Linked DNA regions of Macaca fascicularis. The protein of the gene in region 1 purifies or fractionates together with the protein of each later gene. This does not show direct contact. Links are inferred from orthologs where the notes say so. Each region holds a gene or a part of one and is shown on either strand. Other genes may lie near its edges.

Region 1 (4,213 bases):
TGCCAAAACTACCTGATTCCAGGCACCAGAGACCCCCAGACCCCACGGGGTGTGGGGGACAAGAACCCCTTAGTCCAGGAGGCCAATTCCCAGGGGCCCTTTTCTGCCCCCATATGCCAGGCCACCCGGATTCTGGTTTCCCTGTCACCCAATCTGGCTAGTCCCCTCCATCTGGCCCCCGGAGTCAGGTTTCTGTAAGGTCCCAGCCCTGCTCAAGAGAGGGCCTGCCAGGCTCAAAGGAGGAGCGAAGCCTGGTCCCACCCTGCCCTCACAGGCCCTCTCTGGGCCGGAGCCCCTCATGGGGCTAGGGACGCACATTCCTCAGGCTGCCCAAGCCCGCTTATCTGCCCCCTGCCCATCAGCCTGAGTGCTGACAGAGGCCCAGACCCCTTGTTTGGATGCTGATAACCTCCTGCGATGGCCCTCCCCCACCTGCAGAGACTGAAAACCGGCTGAGTGTTGGGAGGTCCTCTTCCAGCAAGGCAACTGGGGCCCAGGCCCCTGGTCCTAGCCCAGGGTCGTGAGGGTAGAAGATCCCAGAGTTCTCCACCCTCCCCCAGGCCCAGGACCACCCTGGGTGCTGCCACAGTGCCACCTGGCGGTCCCTAGGGAAACATCACCTAGCACAGGAAGAAGCCACACAGGAGCTGCAAAAATCCCACACCACTTTATTTCAACCTTTATCCAAAAATGTAAAAACTATTAAAAATCTGTAGTTCTGAGTTTCCGGCACTAACTTCTAATCCTCACAGACAGGTGGGAAGAGAGGCCCCAAGAATGGTGCAAGATCAGAAAACCAGGGCTGTGTGGAGCACAGGCCCTCTCCTAGCACCAAAGACCCAAGTCCCTCCCACCCAAACCCCACCCAAGCTCTCCTCTTCAAGGAAGAAGAAACATTTACAATTCTTGAAACTTCTCGGGGAACAGGGTTCATGGCGGTGCATGGCGCATGGAGCTGACCTGAAAAGAGGAAACAAGGAATCAGCACCTAGGCCCTCAACTGCTTCTCCCGCCCCTTCCCAGAGCATGCTGGGCACTTCTCCCCGCAACTCACCAAGGAGGGCTAGGGCCTGCCCCCCTGCTTTTTGGCAGGAAGGATGGGGCACAGCTCAGCTTCTTCCTCGTCACTGTCTTCTTCTTCTTCCTCGCTCTCCTCCTCAGAAACATCATTGCTCATCGTAACTGGTGGACACACAAGCAGTAGAAGGATGGGATGTTAAGACCAGACACTTTCACACCGCATCCATTTCTTCATGCCCTGTGGTTCTAGGCTTGCAGGGACCCTGACCTCCCAGTGCTTATGGGCTAAGTGGGAAGAACCTCAGACCCTGAACTGGGTCACAAAGAGCCAAAGGAGTCTTCATCACTGGAGCTGGAGAAGCTGGGCCATGTTCCATGGAGGAGGTAGGCTTGAGTAGACGGAAAGGAGAGGGCATGTCATGCACAGGGCACAGCGTGAAGGGCACGCAGACCTGTACAGGACTGCACTGGGAGATGAAGGTGGGATGGGGCAGGAGTGCGGAGTGGGGGAAGCCTGATGGGAGAGTCTACTGGAAGCAAAGGAGAGGGCCCTTTCCTCCTCTCACCAATCTGGTGCCGCCCAGTGATCCGCACAGGGCCAGAGCCCGACTTCAGGCGGAAGGTTACAGGTGGTTGGAGCTGGAAGTCGTCCAGACTGAGCTGGGAGGAAGACAAGGATGAAGGCCTGGCCCACTCCTAGCCCACCCCACACTGTAATGAGTACTGACGTCCTCAACCCCCTCACCACCACCACCACGAGGGTAGAGCTGGGGAACTCACCATGGGTTGGCAGGACAGCTTGAGGTTGGCCACAGGGACTGCGATCTCCTGATGGTCATGGTTCCGGGCCACAACTTCTACCACATTACACTCGTCTTTGGCTCCCTCGGTGAGGCAGAGCTGGGAAGGGTACACAGGGTCTCAGGGTCTCCTCAAGCGAGGGCTGACACCACAAGTAAAGGCATCTACCCTAGCACCTGCCCAGCTTCAGAGGTCCCGGTTCACCTGGCCAGGGGAGCCGCCCATGTCGGGGGGTTAGGCTGAGGAGGTGTCTCCAAGTAAAGGGGGTCCGGGGGTTGGGTAGAGACATATATTGCTTGCCTGGGCTTATTTATTGAAACCCCACTCCCCCGCCCCTCACCATGGTTAGTGCCAGCACGTGCTCCGCATCATCCTCTTCCTCTACCTTAAAGGTGAAGGAGCGGGTGTGGCCGGAGAGCTCACAGCCTGGGAGAAATAACAGTGAGTATGCCTGAGCGTGTGTACGGGGCTGGGGGTGGGGGATGTCACCAACCCGCGGTCACGTGTAACCTTGGGCGGACGAGCCATTTACACGTCCACCTCCTTCTCTTCTCTCAGAACACCTGGGGCGCTCGGCCGTGGGCCCCGCCCAACACATCTGGGGCAGGGATCTCGCCGCCCCCTTCGGCTGTGCGTGCGAGGCCCCCTCTCCTCCAGGAACAGCAAAGCAGCCCTCCGCCCACACCCACGCCGTGAAACCCTCCGCATTCCGCCTCTCATCCCTACCTCTTACCGCCCCAGTACCACCCTCAGCCTCTCCCTTCCCCAATACCGAAGAAAAAACTGTCCATAGTGACTGGGGCTGGGACCCGCAGGCCCCCGACACCCCCGGCCCGCGTTCGGCTCTCCTGACTCAAAAACGCCAAGGCAGCTGCTGTGCCGGCGGCCATGCTGCAAGGGCCTTCTCCAAACTCCGCCCCCGACACGCACAAAGCCGGGGACCCTCGGCCAGTTCCGGCCCCGCCCATTAAAGGAGACGCTCAGTCCCGAGAGAAAAGGCACCGAGACCCCGCAGCCCTACCCGGAGCCCGCAGCTTCTGCTCGTATTGTATCAAGACCGAAGAGAAAGGAAGTAAACACCACAGAAGAACGGATTTGGGATTTATGTTAACATCCTTGCTCATTTCCACGACTACGAGGGTGTCCACTTCCCCAAGCTCCTCGCTCTGTGTCGGAGGAGTGTCTCCCACTCTTCCAACCCAGGGTAAGCTTTCGTTAAAGGAGGTATAGATACAAAAGTTAACTCTTCTTACTCCTCCTCCCAGCAAAGGTGGGGTTCAGGGCAGTGCTTTTCCGCCACAAGCAAAGGAAATGCACTCAGATTGTCTTTGCCTCAAGAGAGCCGAGGAGCCTAAAGACTTTCAGTTCAGTAATTTCCATCCTAACACGTGTGTCCTCTCGGCTAAGCCTCTCCTAGATACTCTTCCTGCTCCAATGACCCCGCAACTTGTTATGCCTTCACTGAGCCTTAGCTGCTAGCAGAGAACTAGTTAGTTCATGTGTGTTCTGTTCCTGGCCGACCCACGCGTTTTGAGCTTTTAATTCCAAATCAGCCAGAAGTTATCTTTGCGCCCTGGATTGTCAGTTTACGCTACTCGCGCCATCTTTCGCCTTTTAAGAATCAGGCCAACTGTGTGCTTTTTCCCAATAGATAGCAAAAACTCAAACAAGAGGCCCTATTTCACACCCAGGTTGTAACTGTGGCAAGAGGGTGGGGTGGCTTGGCTAAGAACCAGTCTACTTTTCTTAGCTCTTGCCCTAAGGAAAATCTGGAAGTGATGGGAGGTAGGAGGGCTGCCTTCAAGATCCAATCTCTAACTTGGAACAGCTGTGGAGAGGAGGCATACTGCTTGTAGGTGAGGCATGAAAGAGAGAAGGTAGGGCGCAGACAGGAAATAGATTCACACAATACAACACGACAAGCATTCACTTCAAGTTTTATTTTGCCTCTTGCATGGTCTTTTACAGTTCGTTTTCTACAGGAACTGAGCTCTGATCTAAACAATCAATAAAAATGTCATTCCAACCTTAATATTCATAACCAGGAAATAGCATAGCACTTCATGATCCTAGAGTGATGAAAGCAAAGACCAGGACATCTGTTTCACAGTTACCTGTGACCAGACCAGCCAACATGATTACTAAAAGCCAAGATAAAACCAAAAGTAAACTTACTAAAACATCCTGATTCCATGAGGTTAACTCTGAAATCCTCCAGACAAAATGCTAGAATTGTCCACTACTGTTAAATACGAGAAAACTGAGGAAAATTCAGCTGTCTTACTATCTAGTAGGGGTCTTCCCTTCATCTCAAGCCCTCAAAAATGCAAACTTGGTTCCAGCTTTACAACATACCATATCCTTCTATCAGTTAAAAGGTTTCTAACCTTAA
Region 2 (4,457 bases), on another chromosome or scaffold:
AGGCTCTACTCTATGGTGTAGCCCCTGAGCTGGAGGGTCCAATTTTGTCTTAAGCTCCAGACATTACATGAAACCAGTTTACATCACAACTTGCTATGTATCCATTTACTCTAACATACCACCAATTAGATTATGTACCCCATAATAAGTAGACAAGTTTTTTTGTTGTTGTTGTTGTTGTTTTTGTATTTCAGCATTTTGATTATGCCCAGGGAACTGTTTCTTAATGTCCAACATTTTGTCTTGCTCAACTCACTTTCTCTTTGCACTGGGCAAAGGCACTGTTGTTATAGATTGTATATAATGAAGAAAATGTTTATTTGCCCATTAGAAATAAGACTGGGAAAGAATTAATCTAAATATACTTCTTTTCTAACAAAAATTACTTTCTGAAATGCTGAAATGCTTTCAGGAAAAAAAAGAAAGCGTACATGTAACTGTGGGCTATAGGCCTATAAAACACAAGTGATTTACTGAGATTTCCACAAGATTTCCATAAATAGCAAAATAGTAAGTGGCAGTGTGCTCTACATTTTCAAGTGAACAGGCTGGGTCTCATCTACCGGGCTTCCTCACCTGTTTGAGGGCCAAATGGGGTTTGTGGCGGCCCATTCTGTTGTGATTGCTGTAAAGGACGGCACATAACACATCTGTTTCTGCATCTAAGGTTTGGCTCTTCAGTGACAGTGTGACGAGATGGCATTCTTTAATTACAGCTGCAATGCAAAGGTCTGAAGCAGAAATATTTAATAAGATTTAGTACATATTTCTACATTAAGTATGTTATATTAAAAACACACTGAAAAAAAGCATCTTCCCTTAATTGTTTTAAAGGAATCAAAAACAAATGTAATCTGTCTCAACTGTAAGAACATAAGGATTCCAAGTATAAGAGAAGTTGAAAAATGGTAACAGATGATATAAAGTCCAGGAAATCATTAAGAGAACATCCGTTAAACAAGAAGTTGTATCTTTACATTGCATTTTATCATGGTTTAATAATCTTTCATATGAATACTTTGCTGTCAGTCATTTGGTGTACACTTACGCCTCATGTGTACACTTACGCCCCCACCTTGGAGGTGGGGCACATGTCACTACAAGTGTAATAATTCTCTAACTCCCCATGTTGCTATTCCCAAAAGCAAGACAGAATGAATAAATTCATAGTCTTCAAAATCAAGGCTTCTGTGTTTGGATATCACTTTAAGAGAGACACAAACATATTCAGAAAAGAAAAACCACCACAGTAACTGGAAATCGTATTATTTGATGAACGCCTGACTGAACAACCGGTGCTCATCAGCAGATGCTTCCTAGTCTGAAAATCTGTAGTAGTCCGTAAGATGTAGTTCATGTGATTTATGGCTCTAAAGGCAGCACTAGCATTCCAGGTGGAAGTAAAGGCTGGTTGCTACCTAACAAGAATTTTCTTACTGTCCCAACAACTATCTGAAGACAGAATGGGCTGCCTCGGGGATGGGTAGTGAGTTGGTGAATTTCCCATGCCTAATAGGAATTGTTAAAGAATTTCTGAATAGAGAAAGAGGGAAGATTAATCTGTCAAGTGTGTAGGACGGACAGATGGGATAATCTGTGAAGTGTGTAGGATGGATATATGGGAAAGGGGATGTGATGATCTAAATCAAGTTTTGTCCAATCCGCCTTATTGTGTTGTTCTGTTTTGTTTTAGGCTTTTTGCAGCTTAAAGTCATGGTTTTTAGTTTGTCTCTAGTGAAAACACGGATGAGGAAAGGGCTTCACCAGCCCAACCTGAAACAAAGAACCCATGACTGACTGTATTCTCCCACTTGGGCCCCCGAGCTACGTATTTAACATTAGTAACAGCTACCATTTGAATGTTCATTTACCATGCCAGGCAGTGTTCCAAATGCTTTCTCTACATTATCAACTCCTTCATCCCCCTAAAACAGTCCTATGAGGAAGGTACTACTTTTATCTCCATTTGAAAGTGAGATCAGTGAGGCACAGAAAGGTTCAGTAACTCCCTCAAGCTCCAGCAAAGGGTAGAGCTAGTATTCAAACCCAAACAACCTGGCTCCTGCGCCAGGCTCCTACCTACTATATGCCCTTCACCCTAACAAATACCATCCATTTAGGTGGTAAAACACTGTCGTTTACAGAGCACTGTCTCCTACATTACATCGTTAGATATTCCCGACGCCCCCGTGAGTAGGAGGAGGACTAGCTCCATTTCACAGATAAGCAGATAGCGGTCCGAAAAGATCGCAGTTTGAGTCCCAGTGCTTGGGTGACGTCAACCGCTTCTCGGGAGCAGGGGGCAGGAAAAAGACGGAAAGGGGAAACGGACGGAAGGGTAAACAAGACTCCCAAGACCCGGGTGAACAAGGGTTCCCAGGCAGCACTGTTCCCAGGCACCAGCTGAGTCCACCTCTCTCCGCCTCCTCAGCGCACGGCTGAGCCTTAGTCCTTCATCTCTCCAGCCAAGCCCTGCATTAGCACAGTTGGTTCAATGAACGACTGCTAAGCCAGAGGCCCTACGAGCTACACCAGTAAAGTGCTGGCACCGCTCGACCCCTACGTGCCCCGCGCCCTCTCCCAGCGTCCCCCGGGCCCGGGAAGTCCCGGTACCGCCCCCGCCACGTGCGCCGGCCCGGCCTGGCTGCCTCCTCCGGAAACGTTCCCCCATCCTCGCCCGGCGCCTCACTCACCAAGGGTCGCGCCGGGGTTCTGCACTGTCATTGCGGTGCGGCTCCCCGCCTTAGGAATTCTCACACGGTTCCAAGGTTCCGGGCCCGGCAGTAACGCAGCCATCTTGCGAGGCGGGTAGATCTAGGAAAGGCGGAGCTACGCGAGAGCACGTCTAGCGACCGGAGGTGGGGCGATGGGACCTAGTCCAGGTCTGAAGGGAGCAGGGGGCGGGGCTCGGGCGGGGCCAGGAGCCGGGCGGGAGGCGGCCTTCACGGAGTAAACGCGTGGGACTGGGAAGGACCCCGTAATCTGTACATTCGTTACCAATACGTGGCCGCGTAGAATCATGGGAGAAAAAAAGCGCCATCCCAATACTAACCAACAGAATCTCTGAGAATGGGGTGAGGAATCTGCATTTTGTTTAAACTTCACGCAGGGGATTCGGAAGCACAACCAAGTTTGGAACTATTAAATACTTCCAGGCATTTTACACATATGGAAAATGAGGCCCAGAGGTGAGTTGGTGCTTTTACCCCCAACTCTGCCTCAGACATTAGGGGAAAAAGGAAGAAATGAAATAAAGAGGTTTATGCAAGGTGTGGAATTTTTAGCCAAGAACAAGTGATTTGCTTTGAGTGGTAAAGGAAGGCTCCTTTATGTCTTGACCCACAGCAAAACCGAGATCACATCAAAGAAACTTGGAAGACACCTGTCTGTCATTCCCACTTTTGTCAGTCTCCAAGACAAGATCATATTCCAAGCTCTAGTGATCCTTACCTCATTAATATCTTTCTAATAATTCATTTATCCTCAGCCTTGCTAATGCCCCCTTAAGTTCTTAAGACTCCCACAGTAACGTATTAGAAAAACAGTGTTTTAGAAACAGACTGCCAAGGTTCTAGTTCTAGCTTTGCTGTTTACTAGCTCGGTGATCTCAGGAAATTTACTTACCTCCTCCTCCAGACCTTAGTATCCCTGTGGGTAAAATGAAGATGATAATAATAGTATCAATCTCACAGACTTGTAAAATGCCAAGGCACTTCTGGCATACAAACAATAACCATGTACCATAGTTAATATTGTTGATGTTATTACTACTATTTCATGCAAACAGTCTTACTTTATTGAAACACTTTCCATGCTCTTTCTGTGCGCATTTACACATCTCCTTACTCTACCTGGGTCATCCTCGGAAACAATCTCCCTTCCTCAGCTTTGGGGTCTTCACTTTGGGCAATTCTTCCTAAACACCCCATTCTCACTCCATAATTTGATATAGAGGCCCCTTTAATGTATTACCACAGTGCTCTATGTTGGCTTATGTATTCGTTTTCTACTGATGCTTTAACAAATTACCACAAACTTAATGACTTGAAATAAGTAGAAGTTATTTTTCATTTCTGGAGGTCAGAAGTCCAAAATTAATTTCACTGGACTGAAGTTGACAGGGCTGGTTCTTTCCAGAATCTCTAGGGAAGAATTCATTTCCTTTCCTTTTCCAGCTTCTAGAGGTTGCCTTCATTCCTTGGCTTATTTCACTATCCTCCATCTTCATTGTCAGCATGACATTTTTCAGTCTCCTCCTCTTCCTCTCTCTCACCCTCCTGCCTGCCTCCCTCTTAAAAACACCCCTGTGATTACATTGAGCCCATCAAGATAATCAGGATAGTCACTCCATCTCAGAATATTTAACTTAATCACATCTGTTTTAGAACTCCAAATTCAGGCTCATGTCCCGGATGGGCAGCTGATGCCAAATACTGAGATACTGGTGCTTGGAGAGA

What was found.
Region 2: the proteins of NPM3 (region 1) and RMP64 purify together in Homo sapiens (affinity purification with mass spectrometry; 4 studies listed by BioGRID and IntAct, with this or other methods). This does not show direct contact. The link is inferred for Macaca fascicularis from reciprocal best matches to the Homo sapiens genes NPM3 and RMP64.

What each region holds. Positions count from the first base shown.
Region 1 is NC_088383.1:110,764,378-110,768,590, forward strand, and holds NPM3 (nucleoplasmin-3), read right to left. Parts: upstream 2,721-4,213; 5' UTR 2,712-2,720; coding exon 2,594-2,711; intron 2,248-2,593; coding exon 2,162-2,247; intron 1,921-2,161; coding exon 1,801-1,920; intron 1,681-1,800; coding exon 1,587-1,680; intron 1,183-1,586; coding exon 1,064-1,182; 3' UTR 1,055-1,063; intron 961-1,054; 3' UTR 649-960; downstream 1-648. UniProt on the Homo sapiens protein: Plays a role in the regulation of diverse cellular processes such as ribosome biogenesis, chromatin remodeling or protein chaperoning. Modulates the histone chaperone function and the RNA-binding activity of nucleolar phosphoprotein B23/NPM.
Region 2 is NC_088376.1:170,123,612-170,128,068, reverse strand, and holds the start of RMP64 (nucleolus and neural progenitor protein), read right to left. Parts: upstream 2,823-4,457; 5' UTR 2,797-2,822; coding exon 2,694-2,796; intron 1,184-2,693; exon of another isoform or gene 732-1,183; coding exon 577-731; exon of another isoform or gene 1-576. UniProt on the Homo sapiens protein: May play a role in cortex development as part of the Notch signaling pathway. Downstream of Notch may repress the expression of proneural genes and inhibit neuronal differentiation thereby maintaining neural progenitors.